2 linked regions of the Anolis sagrei genome follow. The protein of the gene in region 2 purifies or fractionates together with the protein of the main gene of each other region. This does not show direct contact. Links are inferred from orthologs where the notes say so. Each region holds a gene or a part of one and is shown on either strand. Other genes may lie near its edges.

Region 1 (10,071 bases), on a different chromosome or scaffold from region 2:
TAAATTTGGGACTGGTTTTAGTGGCCAAACAGATAGACCTATAGCCTTATTTGTTTTAGCATGGGATTATAGCTGGTGATTGCCCTCATTTCCCCAGGTCACTAGGGCATCTTTGTTGAGGTCAGCAAAGCATTGGCAATGAACAGGGGCTCTCCAAAGTGCCGTCACCAGCTTTCGCAGTGGCAAAGGACAACCCAGGTGAGTTCCATTCCCTTTCCCTTGCCCCACAGAGCTCTCTCTTTTCCTTCTCCCTATTACCCCTTCCCTACATGTTTTTCCATTGCCCCTTTTTTATACACCGCTTCTCCCGCCTCCGCTTTTTGATCAATTAATTTGGTGAAAATGTAGAAGAAAGGCAATTCTCCTCAAATACCGTCTCACCTTTCTCCCCACCGTGGGGAAGAGACGCAGCTAGTTGACAATCACATCACAAGATTTATGGGGCAGAGGAAGTAACATGGCAGTGTAGCAGGCGTGCAAACTATGTACAGGATACAACCTGAAAGGGAGAGATGAGCCAATGTCAACAAATGGCACCCTGTTGTCTACTATATCATCAGGCTTTATACATATAATGGCTGGACACTAATCCCAGAAATAGGTGATATCAATTTCTTCAACATATTTAATGAGATTAAACTCCAATAAAAGTTTTTAAAAAATGAATAAATAAATAGCTATTTTTTAACTTGAGAGAACACCTCTGTAAGAATGTCTAGGTCTTCCGGCACAACTTGGAATGACCACAGTGTATGAGTTTTGGATTATGTGATTTTACAGTACTCGCTTATCCAACGTTCGCTCATCCAGCGTTCTGCCTTCCGCCCGGATCTACAGCTGTTTCAAAGCATTGCAATGTTTTGGTGCTAAATTTGTAAATACAGTAATTACTACATAACTTTACCGTATAGTGAACTTCTTTTTCTGTCAATTTGTTGTAAAACATGATGTTTTTGTGCTTAATTTGTAAAATCATAACTTCAATTGACGTTTAACAGGCCTTTCCTTAATCCCTCCTTACTATCCAACACCAGAGCCCCTGGTGGCGCAGTGGGTTAAACTCCTGAGCCAGCAGGACTGAAGACCGACAGGTCGCAGGTTTGAATCCAGGGAGAGGCGGATAAGCTCCCTCTATCAGCTCCAGCTCCTCATGCGGGGACATGAGAGAAGCCTCCCACAAGGATGATAAAAACATCAATTCATCCGGGCGTCCCCTGGGCAACGTCCTTGCAGACGGCCAATTCTCTCACACCAGAAGCGACTTGCAGTTTCTCAAGTCGCTCCTGACACAACAAAAAAAAATCCAACATTTTCGCTTATCCAACGTTCTGCTGGCCTGTTTATGTTGGATATGCGAGACTCTACTGCAATACTTATACTAGGATGTTTTTAATGCTTAAATGTTCTTTATGTCTCGTGTTTAATGGTTTTAGGCAAGCCCCCACACTGTCCTCCTTTTGGAAGGAACTGACAACCTGGATGATCCAGCAAGCTGTTGAGAACAACTAGTCCCTAGTCCCAGTCCTTAGGTTGCTAGATGGTACTCTGTTTAGCACTTCATCCACTTCCCCGGCCCTATGACACGTTGTTTGCATTAACCCTCAACCAGCCCTTTTCTACCCGATTATGTCTATTTTTGTACTCCAGGCCATTGCTATTGTTCAATCTCTCCTAATGAAGCCCGAATGAAGTTGGTTTTATATTTTTATTTTTAGTGTATTTTATCAGGTTTTTGTATTTTATGATTTTTTTGTTTGTTATTTTGTTTATTAAGTTATAGCTGGTTGTTCTATGTTGTCTAATTTGCTTTGTCTTGTAAATTGTTTGTATGGTTTTCCTTTTGGCGCTGAATGTTTGCCATATTTGTTGAAAACTGCCCTGTGTCCCTTCGGGGAGATAGTACAGTCTATAAATAAAATTATTATTATTGTTATTATTATTATTATTGACACAAAAATGCAGTATGTCACAGCAAACAAGATATATATACTAGATTTCATTATTATTATTATTATTAAATTATTTTAAATTTAAAGTTATATGTTGGTGTTTGGTTATTATGATTTTTTTTTCTGTCTACATGTATTGAGTCGCCCCCCCTCCCCCCGGATGAGAAAGGTGGCATATAAATCTATATAAATAAAAATGTAATGTTCGTTTGTGGGATTAACAGAACTCAAAAACCACTGGACGAATTGACACCAAATTTGGACACAAGACACCTAACAACCCAATGTATGTCCTTCACTCATAAAAACACAGCAGAAGGGACTTAAAAAGCCCCAAAAAGCTAAATGACAGTAAAAAAGGGAAGAAAGAGGGAGGGAAGGGGGGAAAAAAAGAAAGAAAGAAAAAGGAAGAAGGAGGGAAAGAAAGAAGGAAAGGGAGAAGGAATCATGGAAGCAAAGAGAAGGAAGGAAAGAGGTAGAGAAGGAAGAAAGGAGAGAAAGGGGGAGGGAAAGAAAAAGGGAGGAGGAAGGAAAGTTAGAGAAAGAAGGAAGGAGAGAAGGAAAGATAAAAGGGAAAGAAGGAAGAAAAGAGGGAGCGAAAGAAGGGGGGAAGATGTAGAGAAAGAGGGAGGGAAGGAAAGAAGGAAAGAGAGAAGGAAGAAAAGAGAGACAGCAGAAGAGAAAGAAAAAGGGGTAAGGAAGGAAAGAGATAGAGAAGGAAGGAAGAAGAAAAGGAAAGACAGGAAGGAAGGAAGGAAGGAAGGAAGGAAGGAAGGAAGGAAAGAGGGAGTGAAGGAAGGAGGGAAAGAAGGAGAGAAAGAGGGAAGGTTGGCCACAGCAACGTGTAGCGGGTACAGCTAGTATCTATATAAATAAAAATGTAATGTTCGTTTGTGAGATTAACAGAACTCAAAAACCACTGGACGAATTGACACCAAATTTGGACACAAGACACCTAACAACCCAATGTATGTCCTTCACTCAAAAAAATGGATTTTGTCATTTGGGAGTTGTAGTTGCAGAGATTTATAGTTCACCTACAATCAAAGAGCATTCTGAACCCTACCAACGATGGAATTGAACCAAACTTGGCACACACAACTCCTATGACTAACAGAAAATACTCAAAGGATTTGGTGGGCAGTGTCTTTTGGTTTTGGAGTTGTAGTTCACCGACATCCAGAGATCACTGTGGACTCAAACAATGATGAATCTGGACCAACCTCTACATGAATACTTAATATGTCCAAATGTGAACACTGGTAGAGTTTGGGGAAAATAGAATCTTGACATTCGGGAGTTGTAGTTGCTGGGATTTATAGTTCACCTTCGGAAGCTTTCGGAAGCTCTAGGTGCTCTTACTGCCTATTACAGGGAAAACCAGCTGATCCCTAACCCATCTAAAACACAGACATGTGCCTTTCATCTCAAGAACAGACAAGCATCCCGAGCTTTGAGGATCACCTGGGAATGAATCCCACTGGAGCTACCGGCTGTTAGGAATTGTGGGCGTTGAAGTCCAAAACACCTGGAGTGTAGAGGCTTCATCCAAGTGCATATCCCTCTCCAAAGCTGTCTTTAGACCAAACATGGGCAAATTTGGGCCCTCTGGAAGTTTTGGACTCCAACTCCCACAATTCCTAACAGCCGGTAGGAATTGCTGCCAGGGCCCTTCCAGACAGGCCCTGTATCCCAGGATCTGATTCCAGTTTTTCTGCTTTAAACCGGATTACATTAGTTCACACTGCCAGATAACAGCCGGTAGGCTGTTAGGAATTGTGGGAACCGGCTGTTAGGAATTGTGGGAGTTGGAGTCCAAAACTTCCAGAGGGCCCAAGTTTGCCCAGACTAGATTGACACTTGAAACTGCTATGTCCCAACGCGATGGAATTCTGGGATTTTGTAATTCTGGCGAACTACAAATCCCATTAAGCCATGGCAGTCAAAGAGGGGACAAACTGCATTATTTCTACAGTGTTTGGGATCCCCAAAAGGCTGCAAATCAAGGGGGAGATGGCGATCCTCCTCGGGTGTTTTTGTATTATTATTATTATTATTATTATTATTATTATTATTGTGGGGGTGGGCATAAAATACCCACTTTTGGGGGGAGATCAGCCTGTAAAGATCTCGGATCCCACAGATCGGATCCCTTCCCTTTTCCTGCTCCCGCCACCTCTGTTTACCTTTCCTCTTGTTTACCTGTTTCCTCTGCAACTTGCATCAAAAAAGTGAAAACACGGTCATCCTCGCATTCAGGAGCCAGTCGCTTCCGGGAACCCTTTGCCAGGCGTCACTTCCCTTTCCAGCCCGGGAAAAACCTCCCCTTCGTCGCCGGCGCCTCCCCGGGTTGGCGTCGCTGGCGGCCGCGCGTCTACACTGCAGAGCCAACGCAGATTAGCACCGCTTGAACGGCCCTGGCTCAGTGGATCCTGGGAGTTGTAGTTTGGCCAGGCATCAGCACTCTTTGGCAGAGGGAGGGGTGATAGTCTAAAGGCCTTTAGAAAATGACATCTCCTTGGATTCGCCATAGCAACTCAAGCGGTGTTAAACTGAATTAAGTCAACAGTGTGGATGCACCCTGGGAGTTGTAGTTTGGCCAGGCATTAGCACTCTTTGAGAGAGGAGTCTAAAGGCCTTTGGAAAACGATATCTCCTTGGATTCGCCATAGCAGTTCAAGCGGTGTCAAACTGAATTAAGACAACAGTGTGGATGCACCCTGGGAGTTGTAGTTTGCCGAGGCAACGTAACTCTTGCAGAGAGGTCTAAAGGCCTTTGGAAAACTCCAACTCGCTGGATTCTCCATAGCAGTTCAAGCGGTGTCAAACTGAATTAAGTCAATAGTGTGGATGCACCCTGGGAGTTGTAGTTTGGCGAGGTATTGGCACTCTTTGGCAGAAGGAAGGGTGATAGTCTAAAGGCCTTTGGGGAACGACATCTCCTTGGATTCGCCATAGCAGCTCCAGCGGTATCAAACTGAATTAAGTCAACAGTGTGGATGCACCCTGGGAGTTGTAGTTTGGCGGGGCATTGGCACTCTTTGGCAGAGGGAGGTCTAAAGCCCTTGGGAAAACTCCAACTCGCTGTATTCGCCATAGTAGTAGTCAAACTGAATTAAGTCAACAGTGTGGATGCACCCCCTTAAAGACCAACGACAGCGGTTTGGGCACCATTGGGATATAATGCAGTTTGGAACTGCATTTTACTGCCAGGGCCCTTCTAGACAGGCCCTGTATCCCAGGATCTGATTCCAGGTTTTCTGCTTTAACCTGGATTATATTAGTCCACACTGTCAGATAATCTTTAAAAGTGCATTATATGGCAGTATAGATGGGGTCAGAGATCACCAAAATACACAACTCCCAGGATAAGGATGCATTTAGCCATAATGGTTAAAGTGGTGTCAAGCTGCATTAAATTCTACAGTGCAGATGCATCCAAAGTGATAGCCCCTAAGGTCCTTTCTACACTGCTATATAATCCAGTTCAAAGATAATCTGGATTTTATATGGCAATGTAGAAGGAGCCTGAACTATATCCTACACGGTGTTGTTGGCTGTCTCCTATCCAAATACTAACCAGGGCTGACCCTGCTTAGCTGCCAAGATCAGAGGACATCAGAGACCTTTGTGCCATTGACCCCCACTTTCTAGGTCTCTAGGTGTTTGTTTTTTTGGACTTCAACTCCCATAAGCCCCAGCCAGCTTGGCCAAGGGCTAGGAATTCTGGGGGATGAAGTCCAAAACATTGGGAAGACCAGTGTTTGAAAAACACTGCATTTGGAGGAAGTGGCCCATGAATGCTCAGCTTCACACTGCCCTTGAGTGCATCTACATTGTGGAATTAATGCAGCTTGACACCACTTGGCTTAATGGTATGGAATCATGGGGGTTGCAGGTTATTTATTTATTTTCTGACATTTATATGCCGCCCTTCTCACCCCAAAGGGAACTCAGAGCGGCTTACAAGTTATATGTAAATACAATATATTATATTATTAGCATAGAACAATATTATTAACATACATTCCCATATTGTACTATACCAGTATACTGTAACATTATTAGTAATATAACATGTAATATTAAATATATAATAATTATAATTATAATATTAAATATATAATATTATAATATTAAATATATAATTATAATATATTAATATTATTAGTATTAGTATCAATATTATATGTTGTATACAATATATTAATTTGCCTCTATTGTACTATATATTAATTTATTGTACTATATATTAATTTATATTGTACAATATATTAATTTGCCTCTATTGTACTATACCAGTAACATTATTAGTAATATTACATGTAATATTAAATATATAATTATTATAATTATAATGTTAAATATATAAAATTATAATATTAAATATATAATTATTATAATTATAATATATTATTAATATCAGTATCAGTATTATATGTGTATACAATTTATTAATTTACCTCTATTGTACTATATATTAATTTATTGTACTATATATTAATTTATATTGTACAATATATTAATTTGCCTCTATTGTACTATACCAGTAACATTATTAGTAATATTACATGTAATATATATATATATATATATATATTATTTGTATACCGCTGTTCTCAGCCCTTAGGCGACTCACAACGGTTAACAACAAAAACAGCAAAAATTCAATGCTACCATCACACGGTATAAAAAACAGTTAACATCATAACATATTATAGAAAAGTATACAATTAACAACAGTATACAATTAACACCAATAGCCATTCACTAGCGTCTCATCACTAAAAACATGATCCAGATCCGTTATCCATTGTTCCATTCCTATGTTCATTACATTCATTGCACTGACTATTTTGCTTATAATATTAAATATATAATATTATAATATTATAATCAGAGTGGCTTACAAGTTATATGTAAATACAATATATTATATTATATTATTAGCATAGTGCAATATTAGTAACATACATTCCCATATTGTACTATACCAGTACACTGTAATATTATTAGTAATATTACATGTAATATTAAATATAGAATTATTATAATTATAATATTAAATATATAATATTATAATAATATATTATAATCTATTTTTATATATTATATATGTAATTCTTATAATTATAATATTATATATATAATAGTATAATATTATAATCAGAGCTGCTTACAAGTTATATGTAAATACAATATATTATATTATTAGCTTAGCACAATATTAGTAACATACATTCCCATATTGTACTATACCAGTACCGTGGAGGCCGTGACAGACTTTGTATTTCTAGGTGCAAAGATTACTGCAGACGCAGACTGTAGCCAGGAAATCAGAAGACGCTTACTTCTTGGGAGGAGAGCAATGTTCAGTCTCGATAAAATAGTGAAGAGTAGAGACATCAGACTGGCAACAAAGATCCGCCTACTCAAAGCCATGGTATTCCCTGTAGTAACCTACGGATGTGAGAGCTGGACCTTAGGGAAGGCTGAGCGAAGGAAGATCGATGCTTTTGAGCTGTGGTGTTGGAGGAAAGTGCTGAGAGTCCCTTGGACTGCGAGAAGATCCAACCAGTTCATCCTCCAGGAAATAAAGCCTGACTGCTCACTGGAGGGAAAGATACTAGAGACAAAGTTGAAGTACTTTGGCCACATCATGAGGAGACAGGAAAGCCTAGAGAAGACAATGATGCTGGGGAAAGTGGAAGGCAAAAGGAAGAGGGGCCGACCAAGGGCAAGATGGATGGATGGCATCCTTGAAGTGACTGGACTGACCTTGAGGGAGCTGGGGGTGGTAACGGCCGACAGGGAGATCTGGCGTAGGCTGGTCCATGAGGTCACGAAGAGTCGGAGACGACTGAACGAATGAACAACAACAACAACAACTATACCAGTATACTGTAACATTATTAGTAATAATACATGTAATATTAAATATATAATTATTATATTGTATTATTATTAGTATTAGTATTATTAGTATTAATATTATATGTGTATACAATATATTTATTTGCCTCTATGGCAAAATAAAGATCTTGTAAAACTATAACTCACACAATCCCTTCTCATTGGGCAAAAGAAGTGTCAATCTGCATTCTTTCAATAGGGTTGATCCAGTTTAATAACACAGGGGCGGGGCCTAATCGAAGCCACGCCCCTTTATTCCCCCTCCGACGAAGGAGGAAATGAAACTGCCGCCGGCAGCAGAGAGTGAGTGACGCATGCGCAGACGTGACATTGGAGTTTCGAATTTCTTTGGAGGAGTTTTAAAAGTTTCAGGTGAGTCGCTGTGATTCTTTCCTGGTTGGGGACTAACTAGGATTGAAAGAGGAGAGTGAAGACTGGTCTGTAAAATGATGGGAATCTAATTTCATCCATTCATCATCCCCAAAAGGGTGAGTTTTTTGGAGTTAGAGGGAGACATCCTTGGAAAAGTAAATGAATGGGAAAATATAGAGAGAGTAAAAAAGGGTGAAAGTAGTAATCCAGGGGATATAGCCCAGGTATGGGCAAACTTGGGCCCTCCAGGTGTTTTGGACTTCAACTCCCACAATTCCTAACAGCCGGTAGGCTGTTAGGAATTGTGGGAGTTGAAGTCCAAAACACCTGGAGGGCCCAAGTTTGCCCATACCTGGGCTATAGCCATGTATTTCTGTTTCACCTGTTTTTATCTGTATGCCATTTTTACCTGTATGTTATTTCCTGATCTTTGTAAAATGTGTTGGTTTTGTTACTGTAAAGGTTTGCCATTTTTGCGGCACAAATAACGTATTTACCTGGATTTTATTATTATGTAAATTTAAATATTTGCAACATGTTTACCTCGCCCTTCTCAACAACTGAGGGGGGGGGGGGACTCCGAGCGACTGACACTGGCAACAATTCGATGCCGCAATATCACAATATAAAACCATAAATACACAATAGATTAAAAACAATAACATTACTTATACAGTCATGTGGCCATTTGCATTATCATAACAATCATATGGTCCAGTTCAGTGTCCAAAGTGCCGTTGTGCCTGCTAGCCAAAAGCCTGGTTCTGAAACCACGATTTTAATTGTTTCCTGAAGGAAAGGAAGGAGGACGCTGATCTAATCTCGCTGGGGAGCGAATTCCACAAGTGAGGGGTCACCACCGAAAAGGCCCTGTTCCTCATCCCCACCAGACGCATTTGCGAGGCTGGTGGGACCGAGAGCAGGGCCTCCCCGGTGGATCTTAAACTATGGGGTGGAACGTAGAGGGAGATATGTTTGGACAAGTAAGCTGGGCCGGAGCCTTATAGGGCTTTATAGGCCAAGACCAACAATTTGAATTGTGCTCAGAACTTGACTGGCATATACTACCAATTACAGTGTTCTCTCACTACTTCGCAGTTCGTTTTTCACGTACTTGCTGTTTCACGGGTTTTTGCCTCCCAATTTATGAATGGTTTCTGTTGCCCAGAGCAGCGTTCTAATCCCGCCTTCTGGCAACAATGGAGTGTGGAAGGGAGTTTCACCCTTCTCTCTCTCTCTCGAGAGAGAGGCAGTCAATCAAGAGAGATTGCAACTAAAGCAGAGATAGCTAGCAAAAAAAAGAGGTGCGTGGTACTTTTAAATCTCTCCTCGCTTCTACCTCACCCTCAGAATGTGATATACATATATAGCATCTCTACTTTACGGATTTTCACTTTTCACGAGTCGTTCTGGAATGTAACACCCGCAATAAGTGAGGGAACACTGTATACCAGTGTTGCCTGGCTAATGCGTTTTTGTTGTGGCTCTTTCTGTTCTTCCTCTGTTTCCTCCATACACTTCCCCACCCCACTTTTATTTCTTTCCTTCTTCTCATCTATATAAATAAAAATGTAATGTTTGTTTGTGGGATTAACATAACTCAAAAACTACTGGACCAATTGACACTAAATTTGGACACAATCAGGCCAACGAGTGACTGTCACACATAAAAATACTGAAAAACACAGTAGAAGGGACTTAAAAAGCTAAAAATTAAAAAAAAAATTACAATGCATGCACAAATCCACATGTATACACACACACACACACATATACACAAACTGGGCCATAGCAACACGTGGCATAGGACGGCTAGTGCTTTCATAAGTACACACCT
Region 2 (10,174 bases):
TACACTATTGAACTGTTTACATATGTAACACAATTCTGTTCCTGTGTTACAAATGCCATTTCCTAAATTGGTTCTATCATCAAAACATGGACAATGTTTATTAAACTGCAAACACTCTGTTTTTGTGGGACATCCTGCAGCACATTTTGGTAGTTTTTCAATTAATATCTCATAATTGAGTCTCAACCAATTCAACCGATTCTGTGGCAGCCACAAAAATGAAGTTTTGGGGGGATAACAACTACTTTTAAAGTAAGTGCCACACAATTAAACAGGAAATAACACTTTCAAACCAGGAACAGAAAAAAATTCAAATTTCGTTACATAATGTTATTATTTTCTCCCTAACAAACATACAATGGGCCCTTGGTTTTTTCCTGAAATTTGGTTCCAGGATTGGGTGCCTTTAGGATATTTTAGTCACTGAATACAATGTTGTCCTTGTGTTGTCAAAGGCTTTCATGGCCGGAATCATTGGGTTACTGTGAGTTATCCAGACTGGGTTGTTGTAGGTCTTTTCGGGCTATGTGGCCATGTTCTAGAGGCATTTTCTCCTGATGTTTCGCCTGCATCTATGGCAAGCATCCTCAGAGGTAGTGAGGTGTGTTGGATTTAGGAAAATGGATTTATATATCTGTGGAATGACCAGGGTGGGACAAAGGACTCTTGTCTGCTTGTCCCACCCTGGTCATATATAAACCCATTTTCGTAGTTTCAACAGATCTCACTACCTCTGAGGATGCTTGCCATAGAAGCACGCAAAACGACAGGAGAAAATGCCTCTAGAACATGGCCATATAGCCCGAAAAAACCTACAACAACCCAGTGATTCTGGCCATGAAAGCCTTCGACAATACATTTTCCAGGCTGTATGGCCATATTCAAAAACTCTAAAATCAAAACAGTAAATAAAGAACAACACTCAGAAAACAGTGGAATTCCAGACAGGAAACAATCAAAACCAACTAACACCACCCAACAAAGGATTCCCCTGGACAGGAAGCAGCCAGGCTTTGAAGCTGCAAGGCCATTCAATGCTAATCAAGTCAGCCAATTGCAACATTCACACTTGCCTCAAGCAGACAAGAGTTCATTCTCTCACCCTGGACATTCCACAGATATATAAACCCCACTTACCTAGTCTCTAACAGACCTCACAACCTCTGAGAATGCCTGCCATAGATGTGGGCAAAATGTCAGGAGGGAATGCTTCTGGAACATGGCCATACAGCCCAGAAAACTCACAGCAACCCAATGTATCTTTGGTGTCTGCTGGAATTTGGTTCCAGGACACCCCACTGTATAACATTACACATATGGAAGCCTGACTGCACATACATGTGTGTTTGTACACCTTCAAATCACCTTACGGTGACCCTGTGGATTTCCGAGGGTTTTCTTAGGCAAGGACTAGCCAGAGGTGGCTTTGCTTGCATACATGCAGCTTAAAGTAAAGCCCTAGCCTGGCAAAGACCTCCACAGACAGGCATACAGGCATTTGCCCGGCTGCTGGCTTTCATTAAGCTCTCCTTCCAAGCCGGGGTTACTCTCGGTCATTTCGTGCAACTTGGAGCTGTGTGGGTTTGTTTTTTGTCTTGTGCCTTTTTCTCTGTCAGTACATCTTGCGCCTCGTCTCAGCAGCCCCAACTGGAGGCACTTTCCGAGAAAGCAGCAGCAGCAGAGGAAAAAAGTATTTGTGAGAGAAAGAGAAAGAAAGAAAGAAAGAAAGAAAAGTGTGTGACAGAGAGAAAGGAAGACAAGTGTGTGAGAGAAAGGAAGGGTGATGCTTTATATACTGATAACATAATAATACCATATTTAATATGTCTTCTTTTACTTCCATATTGATTTTGTATTGTTATTTTGCCGATCTAATTTTAAAGAGATTGTTAATCTTATTACTGTTTATTGTTTGGGTTGTTTTGAGCTACTCTGAGTCCCCTTGGGGAGATGGGGCAGGAAACAAATAAAGATGATAGTGATGATGATGGTGGTGGTGATTATTAGAAAAGTGTGTGTGTGTATGTGTGTGAGAGAGAGAGGAAGAAAGAAGGAAGGAAAGAAGGAAGGAAGGACGAAAAAGTGTGTGAGGAAGGAAGGAAAGAGGGAGGAGGGAAGAAAAGAAAAGTGTGTGTGAGAGAAAGGATGGAAGGAAGAAAAGAAAGAAAAGTGTGTGAAAGACAGAAAGAAGGAAGGAAGGGAAAAAAGTGTGTGTGAGAGAGGACAGAAGGAAGGAAGGAAGGAAGGAAGGAAGGAAGGAAGGAAGGAAGGAAGGAAGGAAAGAAAAGTGTGTGTGAGAGAGGACGGACGGAAGGAAGGAAGGATGAATGTGTGAGAGAGGAAGGAAGGAAGGAAGAAAAGTGAGTGAGTGTGCGAGAGAGGGAGAGAAGTGTGTGAGAGAAAGGAAGAAAAGTGTGTGAGAGAAAGGAAGGAAAGGAAGAGAACAATGTGTGAGAGAAGAAGAAAGGAAGGAAAGAAGGAAAGTGTGTGTGAGAGAGAGAGAGAGAAAAGTGAGTGTGTGAGAGAGAGAGAAAGGAAGAAAAGTGTGTGAGAGAAAGGTAGGAAGGAAGAAAAGTGTGTGAGAGGAAGGAAGGAAGGGATGTGTGTGTGTGTGTGAGAGAGAGAGAAAGTGTGTGAGAGAAAAGAAGGTAGGAAGAAAAGCAAGAAAAGTGTGTAAAGAGGAAGGAAGGAAGGAAACTATGTGTGTGAGAGAGAGAGAAGTGTGTGAGAGAGGAAGGAAGGAAGGAAGGAAGGAAGGAAGGAAGGAAGGAAGGAAGAAAAGAATAAAAGGTTGTGTGTGTGTGTGTGAGAGAGAGAGAGAGAGAGAGAAAAGGTGTGAGAGAAAGGAAGAAAGGGAACAATGTGTGAGAGAGGAAGGAAGGAAGGAAGGAAGGAAGGAAGGAAGGAAAGTGTTTTTGAGAGACAGAGAGAGAGAGGAAGGAAGGAAGGAAGAAAGGAAGGAAGGAAGGAAGGAAAGGAAGAAAACTGTGTACAGAGGAAGGAAGGAAGGAAGGAAGGAAGGAAGGAAGGAAGGAAGGAAGGAAGGAAGGAGTAGAGAGAGGAAGGAAGGAAAATGTGTGTGTATGAGAGAGAGAAAGAAAAGTGTGTGAGAGAGAAAAAGAACAAAAGCAGCTTTCCTCTGCTTTGTGTCTCAATACTTCCTGTATGTCTTTCTTCCCTTTCTTTTACATGCCCAATCTTCAAAGTTCAATGTCAATGAAGCTTGTGGGTACACCAACACCATAGAGACATTTGGGGGAAGCTGGACAACGAGAGTCCTGAGGGATGTGTGCTTTTCCTTTGGTGAGCGATTGCTCCATCTCCACTAGAAAACCAGGGCAGTTTGACCCCACTTTTTCATTGCCAAGACTCAATGCTATTGGGTTCCTGGGAGTTGTAGCCTAGGAATTGTCCCTGGGAGTTGGGCAGAGAAGGCTAAAGGTGATGCAGAACTATAGGATTCCCATAGGATTGAGCTGTGGGGCTGGGACAGCTCCCCAAACGTTCCCTTTCCTAACCCATCACCGCCTTCTTCTTCTTTGTCCTTTCCAAGCCAGAAAGGACAAAGGAGTGTGTTTTCCCCTCCTCCGCCTTTCCAGTAACTCCCATCCAAACAAACCCCCCAACTTTGGGTCTCAAGCCACTCTTGACCCCGGGTTCGAATCCCGATGACCCCAAATTGGGTCAGAAAAGCCTTGGGACACCTTGCCAACGACTCAATTCCCCCACATTTCCTTGCCTGGAGCTAAGAAGACAAACAATTGACGGGGCAGGCAGGAGAAAGCACTCTGCACACGCTCAGACATCCTCTGGTCTCTTTTTGTTCTCAGTACACAAAGATCCACCCGTGGGACAAAGAGGGTGAGAAGAAATAACCCCCTTCTGACTCTCCTCCCCAAGTTTGCCCCCCTCCACCCTGTTGTTGTTGTTGTTGTTATGATTACCTCCTCGCCAGTTTGATGGGGAGGCGATTTTTCTCTCCCTCCGGCCAGGAATTGGAAAGACCTCCCGGAGTAGATCGGGGAGCCACTCGATCGGGGGCTCCTCCGGCTTCCTTTGTGGCTCCCACCGACGCGGCTGGGGCCAAACCAGGGCCAGTCCCGGACCCGGAGCGCCTTATATAGATCCCGCCGGCGCTGCGCCGAGGAGGTTATTATCGGTCAAGCGCGGCTTCCTTTCTGCCGCTCTGTTTATGTGTGGCCGTCACTCAGCCGCGGCACGTGGAGGGCTGGGACCGCCTCTTAAAGGGGACGCGTACATTTGGGGGGGGGGAGTAGAGAGCCCCCACCAATCTCTGCTGCTGTTCTTGTTGTCATTGGGGAACTCCAAGCCCTTTCTCACCCATGGGGAACCCCCAAACGAACCTACCCCAGGATTTCTTAAGATGGGGTATGGCCACTGCTTTCCTCTGAGGCTGAGAGAGTGTGACTCGCCCAAGATCACCCAGTAGGTTCCCAAGGCTGAGTGGGGATTGCAGCTCCACTTCCCAGACCTCAATCTATAGCACTATGTAACAAAATTTGATTTTTTTTTCTGTTCCTGGTTTGAAAGTCTTATAAAAGGTAAACGTTTTCCCCTGACGTGAAGTCCGGTCATGTCCGACTCTGGGTGTGGTGCTCATCTCCATTTCTAAGCCGAAGAGCTGGCGTTGTCCGCAGACCCTTCAAGGTCATGTGGCTGGCATGACTGCATAGAGCACTGTTACCTTCCCACTGGAGCAGGCCCGTAGCCAGGATTTCGATTCAAGGGCTGAGTTTGTTTGGGGGGGGGGGGGGGGGGGGCTGAGTCTGCGTAAAAGAGGGTCTACCCTAGCAAACGTTTTATATTGTTACCCCAATATCCCCATGCATATGGGAAATATTGAGTATGGTGATCAGATCATGATATGAATAAACATAACAGTTTAAACAGTAAGGCCTTTTCGTGAACCACCATGAGAATTTCAGGGGAGGGGCTGAAGCCCCTCAAGCCCCCCCCCCCCCCCCCCAGCTACATGCCTGCACTGGAGCAGTACTTATTGATCTATTCAGGGCTGGCTCGTCCATTACGCGAAGTAAGCGGTCGCAGAACACTTTTTTTTGCCAGGGGCGCAGAGGAACCTCTGTAAATGCCCCTCGACCGCCACTTGAGGAGCACCCCCTCAGCTCACAACAGCCCTAGCAGTCCGGGGGGCGCCTTGGCTTTCTTGCCTCGCTGCCGGGTGATCCTCTTCCCAAAGGGGCCAGACCCTTGAGCCTCGCCTAGCGCCTCTTGTTCCTGCTCCACCCGGCCACCGGGTGCGCGAGCAGAGCCTGTGCTCAATCGTTCTCTGCGTTCGATCCCTTCCCCATGACCGGCTCTCATGACCGGCTCTCATGACCGGCTCCCATAGAATCATAGAATCATAGAATCAAAGAGTTGGAAGAGACCTCATGGGCCATCCAGTCCAACCCCCTGCCAAGAAGCAGGAATATTGCATTCAAATCACCCCTGACAAATGGCCATCCAGCCTCTGCTTAAAAGCTTCCATGACCGGCTCCACCCGCCTCCTCTCCTTTCCCCAATCTGCGGGTGGGCCAAGGGGCGGAGCCGTCGCGCCTGGCCCACTTCGGGTCCAGAGGCATGTCTGAAGACCCCAGCATGCGCACCAAAAGTCACCTCTTCTCCTGACTTTCTCTTCAGCCATTGGGACCAAGAGAGAGAGAGAAAGAGAGAGACCCTCCAGCTGGAGGTGTCTCCTACCTCCGCTCCCTCCTTTGTTTTTGCACCTATCTTCAGGAAAGGTGGGCATCTCCACCTCTGTCTCTCTCTCTCTCTCTCTCGGTCCCAATGGCTGAGGAGAAAGTCAGGAGAAGAGGTGACTTTTGGTGCACACGCCGGGGTCTTCAGGCACGCCTCTGGATCCAAAGCGGGCCAGGCAAGGGAGCAAGTGTGGCAAGTGTAGTTACTGGGATGTATAGTTCATCTACAATCAAAGAGCATTCTGAACTCCACCAATGATGGAACTGAACCAAATATGGTACACAGAACTCCCACGACGAACAGAAAATATATATCAATGATTGGTTGGGGGGGGGGGGGGATACTGTTTGCTTACCATTGAAAATTACCTAGGGCCGCCTCTCTACTCACATTTGCATGTTTTCAAACTGCTAGGTTGGCAGAACCTGGGGCTAACAGTAAAAAGTCTTATAAGCATAAATATATACATAGATATACATGTATGTATTTATTTATTTCATATACTTGTACCCCACCCTTCTCACCCCTGGGCGGCCTCAAAGCAAACACCATTCTGTGCCCTTATAATGATAAAAACAATCAACCAATTCATTAAAACAAAACATTAAAGAAACAGTTGTTAAAACACGCCAATAAAAATCCGGATTCAGGTCAATTCATTGTCACTTCGAAATTGCTTATGTCTTCTTCATACAAGCCGCTGTTCAATGGTCAAATGCAAGATCCCACAGCCAAGTCTTAAGTTTCCTTCTAAAGGCAGGAGGGAGGTGGCCAGTCTGATGTCTTTGGGGAGGAAATTCCACAGATGGGGGCCACTGTTGAGAAGGCCCTCTCTCGTCTCCACCAATAGCATTTGCGACGGCGGTGGGATCAAGAGCAGGGCCTCTCCAGATGATCTTAAACTTCATGATGATTCGTAGCAGGAGATACATTCGGACATATAGTCTGGGCCAGAACCGTTTAGAGCTTTAAAGGTTACAACCAGCACTTTGAATTGTGCTCGATAGCGGATCAGCAGCCAGTGGAGCTGGTGTAATAGGAGTTGTATACTCCCTGTACGCCACTCTGGTGTGCAACCTGGCTGCCAACTGTTGGACTAGTTGAAGTGTCCGGGCAGTCTTCAAAGTCAGCCCCATGTAGAGCGCATTGCAGTAGTCTAATTGGGATGTAACAAGAGTGTGGCCCACTGTGGCCAAGTCAAACTTCCCAAGGTACATGCAGACATATCCACACAATATCTTTCTATTTATCTATCTGTGGCACAGCTAGTTAGTAGCCAAGGAGGCTGTCCGAACCTTGAACTGGTGTTTGGTTGCTGTGTCGGGCCGGATGAGAGCTAACCAATTGAAATTGAATCCAGACAAGACAGAGGTCCTACTGGTCAGTCGTAAGGCCGAACAGGGCATAGGGTTACCGCCTGTGTTGGATGAGGTTACACTACACATGAAGACAGGTACGCAGCTTGGGAGTGATCCTGGACTCATCGCTGAGCCTGGAACCCCAGGTCTCGGTGGTGGCTGGGATCGCTTTTGCACAGTTAAAACTTGTGCGCCAGCTGCACCCGTACCTTGGGAAGTTGGATCTGGCCACAGTGGTCCATGCTCTTGTCACATCCCGGATAGATTACTGCAACGCACTCTACGTGAAGACTGTTCAGAAACTGCAATTATTCCAAAGGGTGGCAGCTAGATTACTCACCGGAGCGTCATACAAGCAGCATACCCACCCACCCCCCATGGTGTCCGCTCCATTGGCTGCCGATCCAATTCCGAGCACAATTCAAAGTGCTGGTCTTGACCTATAAAACTCTATACGGCTCTGGTCCAGCATACCTGTCTGAACGTATCTCCTTCAACGTCCCACCTCAGAGCTTAAGATTTTCTGGGGAGGCCCTGCTCTCGGCCCCGCCTTTGTCTCAAACACATATGGCAGGGACAAGGGACAGGGCCTTCTCGATGGTGGCCTCCCGCCTGTGGAATTCGCTTCCTGGGAAAATTAGGTCATCGTCATCCCTCCTCACCTTTAGAAAGAAGGTAAAAACATGGTTGTGGGACCAGGCCTTTGGGCAATTAGGTTAAAGGACTATTGATAATGTTTGACTATGGCTTGGAAGTGAATTTGGATAAGTTAAGCAGAGTAATCATTAGTATATGGCTAAATAAATAGCCACCAGACTGGCAATAGTTAAATGGATCATAAGTATACTGTTTAATCTTTATTTCTTAATGTTCATGTTTTTAATTATTAAATTTTCTATTTTGTATTTTATGATGCTGCAATGAAGCCGCCCTGAGTCCCCCTAGGGGTTGAGAAGGGTGGGGTAAAAATGTTCAAAATAAATAAATAACTGCTTTAAATTACTACTGACCAAGAGCCGGCGTTGTCTGTAGACACCTCCAAGGTCATATGGCCCGAATGACTGCATGGAGTGCCGTTACCTTCCCACTGGAGCAGTACCTATTGATCTACTCACATTTGCATGTTTTCGAACTGCTAGGTTGGCAGAAGCTGGGGCTGACAGCAGAAACTCAAGGCGCTTCCTGGATTTCAACCTTTGACCTTTCTGTCAACAAACTCAGCAGCTCAGCGGTTTAATCCACTGCGTCACCAGTTATGTGCATTCAAATTATTTGTGAGCTTTGGCAGCCCTAAGTAAAACCTGTCACAGGGTATTCTTGGTAAGATTTGTTCATAATGCTTAGGTCAGCATGCTACAACATAAGGAAAATGAACATCATGATGACCTAAGCATTATGAGCAATAAACGAAATGGAACTGATCAGAATTGTCCTTCCAATCTTTTATTTGTCCTGCAGAGCAAAACATACAGTTTCCTACACAACACTAGGTTCTCCAGACGTCGATCTGCAAATCCAATCAACAATACCCAATATAAACAGTGGAGAGTCAAACAGACCCTATTCCCCTAACTCAAGCAAGGGCAAACTTCGCCTCGTCAGGTGTTTTGGACTTCAACTCCCACAATTCCTAACATCTGGTAAGTTGGCTGGGATTTCTGAGAGTTGAAGTCCAAAACACCTGGAGGGCCAAAGTTTGTCCATGCCTGCCCTATATGAGCCTCAGTGTTTCCCTCCATATGGCAAATGCCAGCTTAGGGAAGTGAAGTGTGTGGGACAATTGTGGAAATGACACAGAGGTATCTCCACTACCCGTGGGCTGCAGCTGCTGTTAATCTATATCTTCTCTATATATAAAAATGCACTGTGCTTAATGAGTACCTTAAAAACAAAAGAACCAATGAACGAAATCACACCAAATTTGGCAACAAAATGTCTCACAACACAAGGAGTGACCATCACTCAAACAATTATGATTTTGTCATTTGAGAGTTGTAGTTGCTGGGATTTATAGTTCACCTAGAATCAAAGAGCATTCTGAACTCCATCAATGATAGAATTGAATCAAATTTGGCACACAGAACTCCCATGACCAACAGAAAATACTGGAAGGGTTTGGTGGGCATTGGCCTTGAGTTTGGGAGTTGTAGTTCACCTATATCCAGAGAGCACTGCGGACTCAAACAATGATGGATCTGGACCAAACTCTACACGAATACTCAATACACCCAAATATGTACACAGATGAAGTTTGGGGGAAATAGACCTTGACATTTGGGAGTTGTGGTCACTGGGATTCACAGTTCACCTACAATCAAAGAGCATTCTGAACCCAACGAATGACAGAATCTGGGCAAACTTCCCACACAGAACCCCCACAACCAACAGAAAATACTTAAGGCCATCCAATCCAACTCCCTTCAGCAAGGCAAGAAAACGTAATCAAAGTCCTCCTGACAAAGAGCCATCCAGCCATAGATATCGATAGATAGATAGATAGATAGATAGATAGATAGATAGATAGAATTCACACACACACAGATATAGTATCATAGATTTGAAAGGGACCCTTAAAGAAGGACAATGATATGTTGCATGTTCCAGGGTGGGCAAACCAGACACTCTCCACATCAACACTGACAAAGAAACCGCAAGAAATACTGTTTACCCACAAGCATAAAGACATTGCATATATTAGAAACCAAGACTTTCTCATTACTTTATTTTCCAGATCAACAGACTGGGCCACAGCAACGCGTGATGGGGACAGCTAGTACCTCTATATAAAAGTACGAAAGATTATTCACAGGTCTCCTATGTCAAACCAGGTTGAAAGAATGTAGCCCGAACATTAGAGGTCTCTCTGAGGAACAGTCACATGTGCAAAAAACATGGCTAATGGTGCAGTCAAAAATGTACTAAGTAAAACCTTTGTACAAAATCTGCCACGAACTCCCTCTTTTGCTTCTGCTATTTTGTTGTTGCGTGCCTTCACATTGCTTCTGACTTATGGTAACCTTGAGGCAAACCTATCACAGGATTTCCTTGGCAAGATTTGTGCCTCCAAGGCTGGGAGTGTGGGACTTGCTCAAGGT

Evidence for each region. The genes of interacting proteins can lie anywhere in the genome.
Region 1: the proteins of ABCA1 (region 2) and NR1H2 purify together in Homo sapiens (affinity purification with western blotting; 3 studies listed by BioGRID and IntAct, with this or other methods). This does not show direct contact. The link is inferred for Anolis sagrei from reciprocal best matches to the Homo sapiens genes ABCA1 and NR1H2.

What each region holds. Positions count from the first base shown.
Region 1 is NC_090026.1:28,208,031-28,218,101, forward strand, and holds the start of NR1H2 (oxysterols receptor LXR-beta), read right to left. Parts: upstream 4,275-10,071; 5' UTR 4,152-4,274; intron 500-4,151; 5' UTR 382-499; intron 1-381. UniProt on the Homo sapiens protein: Nuclear receptor that exhibits a ligand-dependent transcriptional activation activity. Binds preferentially to double-stranded oligonucleotide direct repeats having the consensus half-site sequence 5'-AGGTCA-3' and 4-nt spacing (DR-4).
Region 2 is NC_090022.1:158,797,622-158,807,795, forward strand, and holds the start of ABCA1 (phospholipid-transporting ATPase ABCA1), read right to left. Parts: upstream 4,193-10,174; 5' UTR 3,945-4,192; intron 1-3,944. UniProt on the Homo sapiens protein: Catalyzes the translocation of specific phospholipids from the cytoplasmic to the extracellular/lumenal leaflet of membrane coupled to the hydrolysis of ATP.